Linked DNA regions of Pelodiscus sinensis. The protein of the gene in region 1 interacts with the protein of each later gene in a biochemical or structural test. Links are inferred from orthologs where the notes say so. Each region holds a gene or a part of one and is shown on either strand. Other genes may lie near its edges.

Evidence for each region. The genes of interacting proteins can lie anywhere in the genome.
Region 2: the proteins of ABL1 (region 1) and RAD51 form a complex in vitro, tested with the Homo sapiens proteins (2 studies listed by BioGRID). The link is inferred for Pelodiscus sinensis from reciprocal best matches to the Homo sapiens genes ABL1 and RAD51.

The regions. Positions count from the first base shown.
Region 1 is NC_134732.1:13,784,464-13,792,900, reverse strand, and holds the start of ABL1 (tyrosine-protein kinase ABL1), read right to left. Parts: upstream 3,159-8,437; 5' UTR 1,549-3,158; coding exon 1,413-1,548; intron 1-1,412. UniProt on the Homo sapiens protein: Non-receptor tyrosine-protein kinase that plays a role in many key processes linked to cell growth and survival such as cytoskeleton remodeling in response to extracellular stimuli, cell motility and adhesion, receptor endocytosis, autophagy, DNA damage response and apoptosis.
Region 2 is NC_134714.1:63,239,712-63,247,674, reverse strand, and holds the start of RAD51 (DNA repair protein RAD51 homolog 1), read right to left. Parts: upstream 3,127-7,963; 5' UTR 2,985-3,126; intron 2,829-2,984; exon of another isoform or gene 2,611-2,828; intron 2,009-2,610; exon of another isoform or gene 1,957-2,008; intron 955-1,956; 5' UTR 928-954; coding exon 841-927; intron 1-840.

The sequences.
Region 1 (8,437 bases):
GAAGAGGGGAGAAATACAAATCATTTTTAATCATTGATGATTTTAATATTTTAACACACTTACTATTTCCACAGCATCTATCTGTAAATAATCCTAAAAATGATATTGAATTTTCTGGATCTTGTGGCCTTGGGAAATTCACAGTGAAGAAGTTTCGCAAACTAAATGTCCTTACAAAATAAGCCTCGGGCACATTTATTTTGAGAAACTTTTTTACCTGCTATTTAACTGTGTTCCCAGAGAAAGCAAATATTTCAGAGTTATCTGAAGTACAAAAATGGCAAATATTGATCTGTCTCATGCTTGAACAAAGTTACTCTGAGTAGCATAAAAATGCTAAATAACCATTGTCAGAATCATATTTTCTAGCTTAGTTAGTACCATGCTGTCTCAGAAGATCTTCTGAATTCAAATGTGCAGGATAGAGATTTAGTAAAAACATTTCAGCAACATATTTTTCTTTCTGTCTCTCTCTTCTAATGGGAAAACATAGCTTGAAATCTAATCAACTGTACAGTAAAAAAACATTTAACCAGCCACAAAAGCTCACTATCTTGTTTTCTTTTTGGGGGGAGGGATAAAAATAATATTTCTCTGTCCCCCATTACCGGTTCAAGACCCCCACAAACTAGGGTGACTAGACAGCGAGTGTGAAAAATTGGGACAAGCAATGGGGGGACGGGGAGGGTCCCTATAAGGGGGGGAAAAAACAAATGCAGAGACTGTCCCTATAAAATCAAGACATCTGGTCACCCTGACATAAACGTAAGGTGGTGGTGGTACTTGCTTCCAGTCCGGCAAGATGCTTTGCACAAGCTAGCACTCCAAGAGCGTCATAATAAAGGACTGAGACCTCACTGGCTACCTTGAAGCCCAGAAAAACTGAGCATCCACAAAAGTTGTCAACTACACAATGTAAAATCAAAACAATTCTCTTTATCTAAGGTGTTACTAGTATAGTAAATCCAAGTGTTTCAACGGAAGTGTGATATATTTCAGTTGCCCTTCAAATAAATGCAAAAAGGTTCATTATGACATTCTAGAGTCAAATCATCCAAATCCTTTACTAAAAAAATTCAAAAGATTCAAAAATTTGAAACCTAAAACCAAAAACATTTTTAAAATATCTGTCCTAAGCAACATTATGAAGAAGTTGCTTTCCTTGCTATTAGCTATACAAGAAATCCCACTGGGGTTTCACAAACCTGGGAAATGGCAATCTAACCATGACAAAAAAAAATCCTTAATAGCTGACCATACAGAGAGGTCACCAGAAACCTTAGGGAGCAGAAAAGGGAAAACGCAAAGGCTAAAACCCTTCTTTTTAAAACCATTTCATACAATTTAATAAATTAATATTGTATCCTAATATGCTAACTAAAAGCAAAAGGACCACAAATCAAAACACCTACCATGTTCCACGAAGACATTGCAGTGTGGGCCTCCATGCCTAGATGATTCTTTCTTCCCTGCTCCTTTGATAAAATGCAGGGCAGGCAGACTTGGCCTTCTCTGGTCCCCAAGAACTTTTCCAGGCTGCTGCCCCATAAAGTAACAATAGGCAATCTTCCCCAGAACAAGCAGTGTAAGGACTGAGATCCCTGATCTTCCAGGTTGGCTGAGAGTTTGCAAGTAAAATATTTTAGGTGTGTGCGTTCGTTGTGTTTATCACATCAGCAAACAGCTCACATTAAGCAGAGTTCAGTCAGGTGCACAGATTCTTTCAACACTTTAGAAACTGCAACAAGATTCTTCTGGTGCCTTTATGCAAAGCTCTGTTATAAGATGTTCCATTTATTTAGCAGTTACAAGTGTTACCAAAGTTTCTTGTTTGTAATGAGTCTTCCACTGAGTAAGTGGGAGCTACTTTATCTTACCAATAAGAAAACCACATATAGGGCCACCCAGGGCAGGAAATAGTCATTCCCATTGCAATCAGTGTCAGGATTTCTTTTTTTCCTTTTCTTTTGCATAGCACTTAGTTAATAAAGGCCAAAAAGCCAGTGATTTGGCTTCAAGTATTATTAAAGTGAGAGAGAATCAACTGTGTCAAAGTCATTTTAGATTTCCAATTAAACAGTTCAAAGTCTTTGAGGATCCATAATGACCTTTGAGTAAGGGGGATATTTCAGAGGAACTTGCAATCATTGAAGACCAATAGGTTTGCCTTCTCTGATAAGTTTTCTGCTACCTCTCCAATGCTCTGAACAAAGTGAATGGGCACTTCGGGATCATTTTGGAGCAGAAACAATAACAATCATTGTGACAATACAAGTAATGAACTACCCATCTGCACCAGCTTGCTGCTTATAAGGCAGAGAAGCCAACCCGGGCTTGTTCCTAATTGTTCATGAAAATACAAATGCCATTCTACTTGGTCCAGTCGATGCTGGTGGCAGGAAAGAGGCGCTAGTCCAGTGATGCTCTCCAGGAGGAAGGTTTCTGCACAGCAGCCAGAAAAGGTCAAGTTGGGGTGACGGGGCTGGCTTCATCCCAACTGGGAGCCTAGCACTGCAAAAGGCCTACTTGGTGAATTATGTAGTACGGCTCTGGCTCCTAAGGCTTGGCAAGAGAGTCTGAGGCCAAGAACCCTAATCCCCACAGGCCCTGAATGGCCCCCAAGGGCCAAGGATTCCAATAGGACAAGGGACAGAAACCCCGGAGGGGGTGTCGAACCCCAGTCTGGGGTGGAGGAGAAGGAGCAAAAGGAGACAAAGGGGATGAAGCTCGCTCTGGTGGGGGGGAGGGACGATCCAACACCCCCGGTGAGGGAAGAGGACACACAGCGGGGGGGGGGGGGGAGTGTTAAGGCCTACTCCGAGGAGGGGGAAAGTCCCGTGGGCGGGGGCGGGGAAGGGATTAAGCCCCGGTCGGGGGGGCCCCAGCGGGGCAGGGAACAAGCCCGCCAGGGAAGCGGGGCCACTGACGGGTCAGGCGGGTGACGGGGGCGATTCCCCCCACCCCGGGGGGCGGCTGCGAGTCCCCGGCTCCCCCCGGCCGGTCACATCCCCGGCCGGCCGCCGCCTCCTGCCGGCTTGTCGCCGCGGGGCTCTCACCGGCACCGGGCGGGGCGAGGGGGTCCGCTCCCGGCGCGCTCAGGGCGAGAGGAGCCCGCGGCACACGGCGGCCATGACAGGAACCTGCTAGCGCCCGAGCGAGGCTGCGAGGGGCGGGGCACGCAGCGGGCGGGGGCGGGGCTTGGAGGGGGCGGGGCGAGGGAATAGGGGGAGAGGAGAGGGGGAAAAGGAAGGGGGTAATAAAGGGGAGACAGAGGGGGGAGGAGGAGAAAGGGGGGAAGGAAGGAGGGAAATGGGGTAGAGGGGGAAGGAGGAGAAAGGGGGGAAGGAAGGAGGGAAATGGGGTAGGGGGGAAGGAGGAGAAAGGGGGGAAGGAAGGAGGGAAATGGGGTAGAGGGGGAAGGAGGAAAAAGGGGGAAGGAAGGAGGGAAATGGGGTAGAGAGGAAGGAAGGAGGAGAAAGGGGGGAAGGAAGGAGGGAAATGGGGTAGAGGGGGAAGGAGGAAATAAAGGGGACACCAAGGGGGAAGGGGAGGGATCAGAGGAAGGAAAGGGGGCCTGGCAGACATGTTGATGCACTGCACAGTATCAGGCCCACCAAGCAGGATTGCCCACCATAGCCCTAATTACACCACCTCAAAGGGGTGGCCATGTTAGTCTGTAACTTTAAAAACAACCAGTGGTCCTGTAGCACCTTAGGCTACATCTAGACTGCTGCTTTTTTTCGGAAAAAGGTACACAAATTGCGCACTGCAACTTGCGTACCTTTTTCCGATTGATTTTTCGGAAGAGGCTTTTTCAAAATTAGGTCCATCTACACGGGGTCAAATTTTGGAAAACCTCCTCTTCTGGAAGAGCCCTTATTCCTCATAAAATGTGGAATACAGGGCTTCCGAAAGAGTGTGTCTGCTCTTCCAAAAAAAATGTCGGAAGAGCAGACGTGTTCCCTGGATGTGGTGGTATCCCAGAAAAACTCCGTAGTCTAGACATAGCCTTAGAGACTATCAAAACTATATAAAACCTTGAGCTTCTGTGAGTAAAACACAAGCAGTCCCGATGGTTTGTTGTTCAGGTCACGTGTTCTCGCTCTGTGCTCTCTGTCCTGGCAACATCATGCATTTAGGAGACACACCCTCCCTCAGGTTGCTTCCCGGGTTGGATCTCTCACCTGACCCATCTTACACACCCTTTCCAAGGACTTGTCTACCTAGGGAAAATGACCAAAATAACTAGTCCGCTTTGAAAGTAGATTAAGCTAAATCAGGAAAGGCACACTTTTATATCAAGAAAAAGAGTGCCCCTATAGAGAGTTATTCCAGAATAGCTATCATGCTTTAAATTCACCCTCTACTTCATTTCAGGACAACTTCCCTGTGTAGACAAGCCATAAACTTCACCTTGCATTTGGTTACAACTGGCTATACAATACTCTATGGCTGTTTAGGGGCTAACCTCATCTATGTTGTCTACCATGTACCAACAAAGTCCACTGTATCCTACCACACTCTACCCATTGTTCCCTATAATTTTGCCTTGGGCATCTGGCAACACAAGGTTTACTCCCTGACTTGATTTAGAGGTACCAATGAAAGCCCTGCAGGGGATTATTTCTCTTGTCTCACTGCTGCTTATTTGCTCTTCCCAGAGCATGGGCTGCAAGCCTGATGTTTCTTTTCCAAAACCATGAGTTCAGGAACCTGCCCACATTCTCTGAATGCAGCCATCCAGCTGAGCCCCCTGAGTACATCTGTTTTTCTATGCTGTTTGCAGGGTCTATAAATCCTGTTGTTGGCTATAGCAGACATTTCGATTGTCAACTCCTTGGGAACTGCTCCATCTCTGTTTCAGAGAAGGACAAACACAGCGACAGTGCTTAAAGATTGCCAGGTTTCTGAAACAATCAGTTCCAGGTTTTAAACTCATGAAGGCTCATGAGCCTGCCCATCCCTAGGGTAGCTCAGAGGGAAGGCTCATGGTCCTTCATGAAAAGACAGTGGTTTTCTTTCCAGCAGTGATGGATCCTCCTCTCACAAAAGCTGGGATTTCAATTGTACCTAAGGGAGTTAGGTACCCATTTTAATGGGAGTTGGACACCTAACACTCTCAGACAGACTCCTTTGAAAATGGTAGCCTAGGATAATTTCCCTCTCAGTGCAAATGATAGGGAAGGGTAGGAATCAAAGGAACCTACTCATACAAAGGAATATGTTGGTTCAGGAATTGAATAAAGAGAGTACGTGAACCCAGAAATGTCCTTTGCAAATGGCCTTCAGGATTTAGTTGTGGATTTAGTGAACTAGCAGGATTTGCATAGACCACTGGCGACCTCTACTGACTATTTAGAAAAATATTCGAACGCCTGAAAGGAAAGAACCCCTTACCTGCTGATGCTTCTGGTCAGAGGCCCCTGCCCAACAACAGTGGGTTCATTACTTAGCTTCACAGCAATTAACATGTTCACACATTGTCATCTATTTGACAAGGAACCTAACAGGTGGAAACTTCCTATGCTAAAACCAAAAGGAAACAAAAACTCGGACCTAAAACAGATGGGCTGGATTTTGAACTAACTTCTCGTGCATTTCTGACAGTGCCTGCAGATAAATAGGTGTGCAGAGGCGTAGTGAGGGTGTTATGCGCCCGGGGGCAAAGGAAAAATTTGCGCCCCTCCCTCCCCCCCCATCGCCATGTGGCACAGCACCGAACCTGGTGCACAGCTGAGGGGAACTTGTACTACAGTTTGGGGCCGGGCTCCCGCATGCACTAACCCGCCGGTGGAGATGGAAGAGGGGTCGGGCTTGGAGCAGCGAGGCAGGCAGGAGGCTCCAGCTGCCGGTGGCAGGCAGAGTAGGAGCACGTGAGCTGAAGGGATAACGGAGGGAGCAGAATGGGATTAAATTGGAGCCTTCCTAGCATGGTGCCCAGGGGCAACTGACCTCTCCGGCCCCCTCGCTATGCCACTGCCCCCCCTCCTGCAGATCTATCATCTGATGCATGTGCAAGATCTGTGAGAGCCGTCCCATGAATCTGCAGTTAGTGTCTGTGGCGCCTGCTTCTGGGTGATGTCTCAATGCTGCCACATTCACCTCCAAAGAGGGGGCTTCCCAAAGCAGGCCCTTGCTACTGACCCTCAAAGCATCCACAGGTCCAGTCTCCTTTCAATGGGCCCACTTCCCAGGGCTCATTGATCTCGGATCTGGCTTCCATCCCCTCTCCAACCTTTGCAACTGCCCAGAGGTGCTCACCTTCCGCCTTCTACATTCCCACCTCATTCACCCCACAGGGACAGTCTCTGCCTCACTAGTCCTAGGGACTATTCTACCAAGACGTAATACAAAGTTTATATGTAAAAGGACTCACTACAAAGCTAAACACTTCAATGAGAGAATGATTAATACAGAGACATGTCTACATCTGCTGCAGGGAGACACCTCTGCCTGCCTCCACCCCTCTCCCCCCAGAGTCTACAGCCCCATTGCAAAGCAGGGGAGGGGAAGAAAAGAGGCTGAGGCCCATCCAATGGGACCGAAGCAGTCATGAGCAAGCCATGCCCGGGAGCCATTCTCCTGTCCACTGCTGGTGCTGTGTTGCTTCAGGCACGCTGAAATGCAGTCACCTCTAGGGTGGGCTGGACAGCTGTTTAACACCTGCACAAGGTTTCAGGCAGGGATCAGTGCAGGCTGCCTTCCTGCAGAGCCCCCATCAGAACTAAGCCTCCTGGCTTAGGAAAAGAATAAACAGGAGGTTGGAAATTAACCCGCCCAGTCTCATGTCCCCTAGGCAGGGACTGAGCCATCTACATTAGGCCCCAGCTGAAGTATCATGTTCAGTTCTGGGCGCCACATTTCAGGAAACATGGAGAAACTGGAGAAAGTCCAGAGAAGATCAACACAAATGATGAAAGTTCTAGAGAACATGACCTATGAGGCAAGGCTGAAGGAATTGGCTGTGTTTACCTTGGAAAAGAGAAGACCGAAAAGGGACATGAGAGCAGCTCTCAAGTATCTAAAAGAGTATCATGAGGAGGAGGAAGAAAAATTGTTCTCCTTGGCCTCTGAGGTTAGGATGAGAAGCAATGGGCTTAAATTGCAGCAAGGGAGGTTTAAGTTGGACATTAGGAAAAACTTCCTGCCCATCAGGGTGGTTAAACACTGGAATAAATTGCCTAGGGAGATTGCGGCATCTCCATCACTGGAGATATTTAAGACCAGGTTAGACTGATGAGGGATGAGGTAGGGCAACTTGTCAGGGATGAGCTAGGGCAACTAAACTTTGGAAGCCCCAGGGGCTACACTGATACTTACAGAACATGTTGAGGGCCTCAACTTAAGTGTGGTTACATATGCAAGAAAATATATACAAATAGCTTCTCTCACACTGACAGGCATGAATACAAAGATTAAGGCAAGACTACACAACACACAGGCCTCATTTAAGTCAGCTCTGCTGATATTCATAAAATGCAACATTTACCTGATTTCTACCCATGTGACAGCACTTTTCATGAGCAATGACAGTCCAAGAATTTAACTACTAAAACACACATCAACAGAAGATCATTACACTGACTACTTTTTTGTTTTGCCTCCCACTTGCCAGCCACGTGTTGATCCCCACATAAACCCAAACTGCACCGCGGGGCGCAAACGAACTGGCCATGGGCAGCATACCATGTTATTAATAAATATTTTTAAACCTTTACCTTTTCTGTCTGCTGCCATGTCTCCTCTCCTTGCTCCATCATCTCCCCTGGTGCCTGCTGCCCCCCAACTCCTCACTCTCCTTTGCTGGCCTGACTCCTGCCCTTCTACGACCTTTCCCCCTCCACCAGCCCTTCTCTCCCTCCTGTGCCCACTCCTCCAGGTGAGCTACCCCTCCTCATCCCCTCTTCTAACACCTCTCTCTACACACCTGCCCTGCCCCTCGCCTCTGGTGCTCGTCCCTTCCCTGCAGGTGTCTGCCCTTCTGCTTCACCCGCAGAATACCCTGGCACCTGCACCTTCCCTTAGCCCTGCACCCTCCTGGTGCTCCCCCTTCCCTCACTGCCCCTGCCCCTTTTGCCCTCTTTTTCCCTGATGCCCACCCCCTCTCCACTCTCTGCCCCCATTCCTCTCATGCCCCTGTGCCCTCACACGACTTGCTCCATCCCCACCTTTCTCATGCCCACCCCTTTCAAGCCTTCTCCCAGCACCTCTCCCTCCCCCTCTAGACCATAATGCCCTTCCCCTCTCCTCTCCTCTCCCAGCATCACCCTGTCCCCCCTCCCACTGACACCTCCCCTCCTGCCCTTTCCCTCATTGTCTGAACTTGGCCCCTTGCCATTTGTATCTTCCCTCTCCCTTCCACCTCCACACAAGCTCCTCCCCTCCCCTCCCCACAAGCCCCTTCCTCTCCCACCCCTTTCCCCTAGTTTTCCCCCTG
Region 2 (7,963 bases), on another chromosome or scaffold:
GGTGTTTCAAAGCAGCAGTGCCCTGTGGAGCCCAGGGTCAGCGGGAGAGTCGCCAGCTGACCCCGGGCTCCACGCAGCACTGCCACTTGGAAGAGGCAGCAAGCGGGGGAAGCGACTAGTTGACAAGCATTTGCTTATTGGATAGTCAACTAGTCATTCACATCCCAAGTTTCAATGCATTTATTACAAAACCTGGAGTATCAGTATATTATCAAAGTGGTAACTGAACACAGTGTTTTGTATTAATGCATTCCTGAAGTTAATCTTTCATATTTTTAATACACATTTCTGGATAAGATTTTTCTTCTTTGACAAACATCAAACAGGCAGAGTCAGTGACAACTTTTAAATGCAACTTCTAGTTAAATATAAAGACTGTTGGTTTGTTTGGCAAAGAGGTCCAGAGCTAGTCACTCATTACTAGGGATGTTAAAAAATGGGTTTTTTAATAACCGCATAACAGCTGAAATTTTACATGCACGTTTACACCTGAGAGGGAAGGCAGCTCTGTGGGAGCCTATGCACACAGGGAGCAGGCTTTTAAGCTGGCTCCCACCGAGCTGCCTCCCCTCACTCCATCCTTATCCCCCCACCATCACAGCCAGCAAGATGGTGGGGCAGGTGGCTCCCTAAGAGCCCAGTGCTCACAGGGAGTCTGCTTAAAAGCCAGCTCTCCACAAAGACTTGCCCTCACCCTGTGCTGCTGCCTGTGATACAGAGGCCACAGCATGGGGGGGAAGAAGGTGGGTTGCATGTAGTCAGCCAGGTTAATCGATGAACCTGGGCTTCTTAGTTAACCATTTAAGCATTTAGACTGTCACATCCCTACTTATTACATACCTCTAGCCTTGATATGGGCTGTGGACCAAAGCTTTCTTCCTCAGTTGATGTCTCTGCATTTGCTTCATATTGCATTTGCATGGCCATTGCACCAAGTATTAGATACAACTTCCCCTAAGAGAAAATACAAAAAAGGGGTGCCACTGCTCAAACATGCCTCTCTTCTACAAGAGACCACTAGTTCTTGTACCAGCCCTAGCACTGGCTGCTCTGGCCCCAGGAGCCCAAGCCCGAGGCCTGCTGCTGACAGCACGCTGTTCCAGCCAGACTGGAGCAGTCCACCGGCCAGGATTCTTTTTAGTTGGTAAACTGGTTAAACATTAGGTTAATCTAATCCAGTTAACTGATTAATTGGGATTTTACATCATTAGTCTGAGCAGCCCCCGCCCCAATCCTAACACCCTGCCCAGACTTCCCACACCATAACCCTCAGCACTGAGACCTCTCTCATACCCCCTGCCCTGATCCCTCCTCATACCTACCAAACCTGGCTCCTGCATCCCCCATTCAGAGTTCCCTGCCCTGAGCCCCTCATACAACCCAATGCTGACTCCTGCATCCCCACACCATAACTCCTGCACTCCCTGTATACCCAAGCCCTGAACCCCCCCAACTAAGGATGTAAAATCTAGGTTACTCAGGTAACCAGTTAAATGTTAGGTTAACCTAATGGTTAATCAGTTAGCTGACTAGCAGGATACCTCACTACTCCAGCCCTCACGTCTCCATCCCCTCTGTCTCTGCAAGCTCCTACACTGAGGCTAGGCTGGCTCTACTGGCTCCCAGACCCTGCGCTGGAGAAAGGACTGGCTCTGCTGTCTCCTGGCTCCCATGCTAGGGTGGGGGCTGGCTCTGGCTCTGCTGGCTCCCAGCCCCCATGCCTGTGGCAGGCTGAGGATGGGGGGCTGCTCCCAGAGGAACCAGTTAACTATTACCTGGTAAGCATCACCTAGTAATGGTGATGCTTACCAGGTTCCCATTCACATCCCTACACTCCACTCCACACTTAAATTTCTTACAAGTACTGTTGTATCTCAAACCCTCCCCACCGCTTCAAGGCCCCCCCCACGGGGGGGTGGGGGGGGGACACAGGACAGGTTGTGATAAATTTCTCACCAGTGCAGTTCTAAGTTACTTTCACCCCTTGCTTTTAAAAGTCCAGGAGGCTCTGAAACCAAAGAGATCTATGTGAAGGAACATAATAACTGACATATGGGATGAGAGATAAAGACCACATACTGCAGTATTCTATCTCCAAGAGTGACTAATACAGGTGCTTCACAGAAGGTGAAAGAATCTCACTGCAGAAAAATGTGGCAATCTGTTCCCATCAGGCCTTATCCTGGACTTTAATATTTGGAGATGGTCTTAAGTCTCTGAAGCATAAGCTTTACTATCGCTTCCAAATTGTTTATAATAAAGTTTGACAACTTGGGACATTCAGATGTACCCATATGGATCTCCAAGCCCTTTTTTTAATCCTGCTAAATTCTTGCCCTCAATGACATCCATTAGCAATGACTGCCAGTCTAATTACAATCTCTCCCCTTGTGAGATTCTTTCCCCAAACCTTTGATCACCTTCTGAACCCCTTCCAAGTCTGTATTACCCTTTTCTCAGAAGGTTTGCAACTGCACAAGACAGTCCAGAAGCAGCTGTATCACTGATTTCTATGACAAGATTCCCCATCTGCCCTCTCCTCTCCTAGTACCATTTGTAGTTCCTAGGACTTAGCTGCATGTTGAGTTGGGCTCTGTGTTGAGCACAGACCTTTGTTGACTTGTCTCCCGTGACGCTTTCAGGAGCTGGCACAGGACCGGGTGCAATGTTCGTATTTTTGGTTCAGCAACGAGGGGTCATCAAAAGCAACGGACAGGCAGGGCCCAGACGCAGCCCTGGATGACCGTACGCAGCTTTGAAGCTAGTGGGTTGCCCGGGCGAGGCTGAGCGCGGCGGAGACTGGAGGCAGCGCGGCCCTGGCTCGCCCAGCGCGGCCCGGGGTGATACCGGCCTGTGGGCCGGGCCCTGAGGCCGCGCAGCTTCCCCGGTACCGCCCGGACCGCGCTGGACGGGCGAGCCCTGCCCAGGCCCCTCGGGCTCGGGGCGCTGCCCCTGTCCTGGCGGCGAGGCCGCCCCGCACTCACCCCGCCGCGGCGCCGGCTCCTCGCCCCGGTCCGTTGGCGTTCCCCGGCCGCTGGCAGATTCGGAAAAGCCCGCCAGTCCGTCACGTGACGCGTGCGCGTCGCCCCGCCGCTTCCTGGCGCTGCCTTGTCTTCGGGCTGCCCGGAAGTTGGTGTTCCTGAGCATGCGCGTGAGAGCTGCGCGTGCTCAGTAACATCTGTTGAAGCTGCTGCCCAGTCTCTGGGGATTCCATCTGACTCCTGTTCCCCGGGCCTGGCGAGGGCAGGCCGAAGAGGTGGAAGTCTGGCGGGGCCAAGCACAAGAGGGGCAGAGGAAGGAGCTGTGCCAAGCTAGGGACAGAGGGCGATGTATTCCAGCCTGGGGCAGGAGGATGCAGTGACCCCACCTGGGGTGAGTCCTCTGCACTCGGGGGTGCTGGTTCTAAGAGCTATTGAATCAAAGTGTAGCCCTGCAGCTATAGGTGCTGAAGCCCCCCACACTCCTAGTTCCTGCTTGCAGCAGAGCTCCTACAGCCCCTGATGAGACTGTGCATCGCAGCATCCAGGGCTCTGTGTTTTAAGCAGTGGTGCTGCACCTCCATGCCTAGCCAGAGCAGCTCTTCCCTGGTTTAAGGATGTATTGAGCTGCTGAAGACTCGCTTCAGTGACATATTGCTCGCTCGCTCTCGCGCGCGCGCGCACACACACACACACACACAACCCCCCTCCCCCCAAATGATACAGTCGTCATTCATGGCTGTAGCAGTTGAAAGAATAACTTATGAGTTCATGTGTCTGCATAAAGCCTCATAGCAACTAACAAATTTGTGAATTGTTTTTTGGCTTGCCCGAAGAGGACGGCCTTGCCCTTGTAATCCATCCCAGACTTGATTTCACGCCTTTACATTATTTATTTTAATGGTATTTTTATTGCACTTGGCACTTTGCATTTGCCTTTCTTTGGCATTCTCAAGAGAAATGTCATGCTATTTATATTTGATAGCAAATAATCATTGAAGATATTAATAGTTGTTAGTAGAATTCAGCAATCACATCTCAGCATTTCTAATATAACAGCCTGTTTTTAATGCATTTATAATTTTTAAGTCTACATGTTTGATTAGAACAGATTTACTAATTGGGATCATGTGAATTCAAGAATAATTGATTTATTGGGTAGCTGTCAAAACTGCTGTAGTTTCCATGAACTGCCACTAGAAAGTGTCTTTTGTGATATATTGATTGAAACATGACCAGGTAGATCATTGTTGCTACTACTGTTATATAATTTCAACAAATCTTATATGAAGTATCAAGTAAGATGTCAATAGAAAAGTTATCGTTTGCTGAGTATGATTATGGTACTAATATGATGCATATGTGTCAGTGTATGTAAAGGGAGCAGTTGCTCCCAGGTGATTTAAAGGGGTTCAGCCCCCCCCAAGCCATTTAAAATTTCCACTGGAGCACTGCCATGGCCCTCTGGGTGGCTCTTAGGGCTACCTAATGAGGCAGAAGCAGCACACTACAAGCAGTGATGGGGGGGGAGGAGAAAGGAAGGGAGGAGTGCCGCAGGCAGTGCCATTCTACCTGAGACACCCCACCCCTTCCAAGAGCTTGGTGCTACCCTTCTACCTTGCCCAGGTTACCCTGTATGCCAATATAATTCATGTATTAGGACCAGTAGCCAGAGCTATCTCATCCATAAGACAGGTTGGAGTGGCCACCCTAGGCCCAGGGGATTGTGTAGGAGGCAAGGCACAGGGCAGCAGCAGGGGTCTGCTTCCCACCCCTGCCCTCAGGTGGCTGTGGGAGCCTCCTCTGCTCCATCCCCCATCCCCCAGCTGCTGCATTCCACTGCACTGCTGTAGTGAAGCATAGCTACCCAGCTGTGGAAGATAGTCAGCAGAGCAGGCTGGAGCAGCCATGGACCTGAGGAGGGGGCAAGCCTATCTGTTTGGATTTAAATTAGGGATGATATCTAAATTTAGCAGTTACACAATTATTTGATAGTCCCTGGTGGCAGGGGCCGCAGCCTCTGTCCTCAGGGAGTTTGAGCCTCCCGCAGACAGGTATTGCTGCCGCAGAGCAGCCTCTGGTTGAGGCAGGACCAAGCTTGCTGCGGACAGAGGCTGCTCTGTGGGATGCCAGTGCAGCCTGGGTCCATGGGGAGCTTGAGACCTTTGCAGATTCAGCCCCTTGCCATTTTGCACTGCTGCCTCTCTAGCAGAAGCAACACTGTAGGGGAGAAGGCTCCATAGGATCTAGTGCTCACGTGGAATCAGCTTAAAAGCTGGATTCCCACAGGCACTGGCTCTCATCTCCCCCTCCCTTGCTGCTTCTGACAGAGGGAGCTAGTGTATGCATGGGGGGAGGAGAAGAGAGGGGAAATACATGTAGTCAATAGAATTAATAAGCCTAGTCTTATCAGTTAGTCATGTAATCAACTACACATTGACAGCCCTAGTTTAAATAGCCACTCATTAAGTTTAGTGGTGATACAAGGACTGAGGAAGCTGCTTTTCTGACTACTTGTTAGCTTGTGTGGTAAAACAAAAGTTTACTGTCGTTGTTGGATTGCTACGTCTTGTGGGAGAATAGCCACCAACTCAAGAGGCATTTACCCTACTTCTCAGCAGTTTTTCTCTGATAAGGTACCAAAAAAAAGGGGTAAGCTCAATGGTACCAGTCTTCTATGTTGATGCTGACCATTTCTGGTAGATGGTACTGGAGCCTTCTCAGAAGGCTTAGAAAAGCTGCAGTACTTTCCTGACTCACTGGTACTGAAGGGAGCCCTTCACTTTGGATACTGAGCCTCAAGGACCAAGTCTCTGAGTTTGCTGTCCTGCTTGGAGGGTGAAGTCGCTGGGAGGTGGATTTTTTAAGAGGGGAGCTCATCTAAGATCTTTAGATGAAATCACTGAAGCTTTCCCTCTTATATGCAAATGCCGCACTGAGATCAAAATAGTGTCTTGGTCTGGCTCCAAAGCAGGACAAAGAGAGCACTTCATCATTAATAGCTGCAGCTTGATTTCCCGATTCCTCTCTATACAAAAGGCAACCTTTAAACCCTATTGAACTGGATGTACACAGTGGAAGATTTTCCCAGAGGAAATGAAACCTCTCAAATAACTAGTAACTACTACTATCCAATATGAATGTGAAAGTGTAACTGTGTGAATGGTTAACCAATGAGCCTGGGTAAAATAAAGCCTGGCCCAGCCCTTTGCCTGCTGGCATGGAGGAATGGCTAGGCCAAATTTGAATGAGTGACATTGTGTCCTGGCATGCAGGATCATAGTAATACCACTCTAATTTGTCCCAATTTGATTGCTTTCCCCCCCATCTCACCCCTGCTGTCCTTTTAGCATACTTGAAAAGATCTAACACACAAGTCAACTAAAAGGAACCTTCAGTTAGACACATCTGGTAAGGGGCCACAGCCACTTTATTCATGATTTATATAACAATTTTCCTGTAATAAGAATATCAAGGCATGGTTGCAGTTAAATAGGAATATCTACATATCAGTGGTGCATATCTTAGAATGACCAAGATCTTTATGGCATTCATCTGCTCCTAATCAACAAGGACAAGAAAGCTATTAGAACAAAATGTAATGGCATGGTGTCACTGTAGACACTTATGGGAAATTGTCCTACCAGACAAAGTATTGCCTAATCAGGATAGCATTGTTAGAAGTATCTACAAAGTCTTCATGCTTTCCATTAAGATGTTTATTGAATCTGTCTTTTAGTACTGGCAAACTACCAGGCGTGTGGACATGAGCTACAGTAATAGCCATCCATAGAGAGGATTGAGAAGATTTTAAAGGGGTACAGCCTGTTACATATTCAATAGTAAAATACCGGAGAGCACAGCCTAAGATTGATACAGTATGTATACACACACATTCGGGTTTTAAAAGTCAGTATTTCATGAGCCACCCCCCCATAAGTCAATAGTGGTATAAAATTGGGCAGGGGAGGGGGGAAAATAGGGTGAATCTTAAGTAGAGAACAATCTTCTTCCCTTTACTTCTTACCTTTTATTTGCATTATGCCATTCCAACATAGCTCAAATATCTCAAGGCAGAGGCATTCACTCATTTGTAAAGTGTCACATATGTGGTACTATGAAAGTACTACTTGATCTTCTAATTATAGGGCTATCAAGCAATTAAAACATTTAATCACGATTAATTGAGCAACTAATTGCATGCGCCTCCCCTTTGAAATGGCCTCGCCACGGCATTTCAACGGGGCAGTGCTGCATGGAGCCCAGGATCATTCCTAACTGTCAGGATGGTCAAATATTGGAATAAATTGCCAAGGGAGGTGGTGGAATCTCCTTCTCTGGAGATATTTAAGAACAGGTTAGATAGACATCTGTCAGGGATGGTGTAGACGGAGCTGGACTCGATGACCTCTCGAGGTCCCTTCCACTCCTATAATTCTATGATCAGCTGGAGTCCCCAGCTGACCCCTAGCTCCATGCAGGCTGCCCCTTGGAAGTGCCGCAGCTTTCCAAGGGGCAGCACATTAAGAGCCTGGGATCAGCTGATCCCTGGCTCCTAATACGCTGCCCCTTTAAAGCACCAAAATGGCACTTCCAAGAGGCAGCGCAGCATTAACACCTGCGATTAACATGTTAAAAACAGAACGTGTTAATGCTGTCCTGCATTAATCACAGGCGCTAACGCAGGTCAATTGACTTCTTCTTAAACCCTTGTACTCCGAGTGGAGCATAGGTCATATACAAGTCTCCTCCACTTCACTCTGTCTTGAGAGAAAACTAGCTGACTCTAGGAGTACCCCAGTTTTTGTCCTTCAATTGACAGCCCTAATTAATTATATTTCAATGGGCTCATTCTTTTGCTTAAATTGTCAACTTTATATTTGGCAGGAGCTAACATATGATGGTAAATGCCTAACTTTGTAAAACGCAGGTTCTGAAGAGTAGTTCTTGCCTAATGATCAGCCTTAAACAAGTTTATAGAGTAT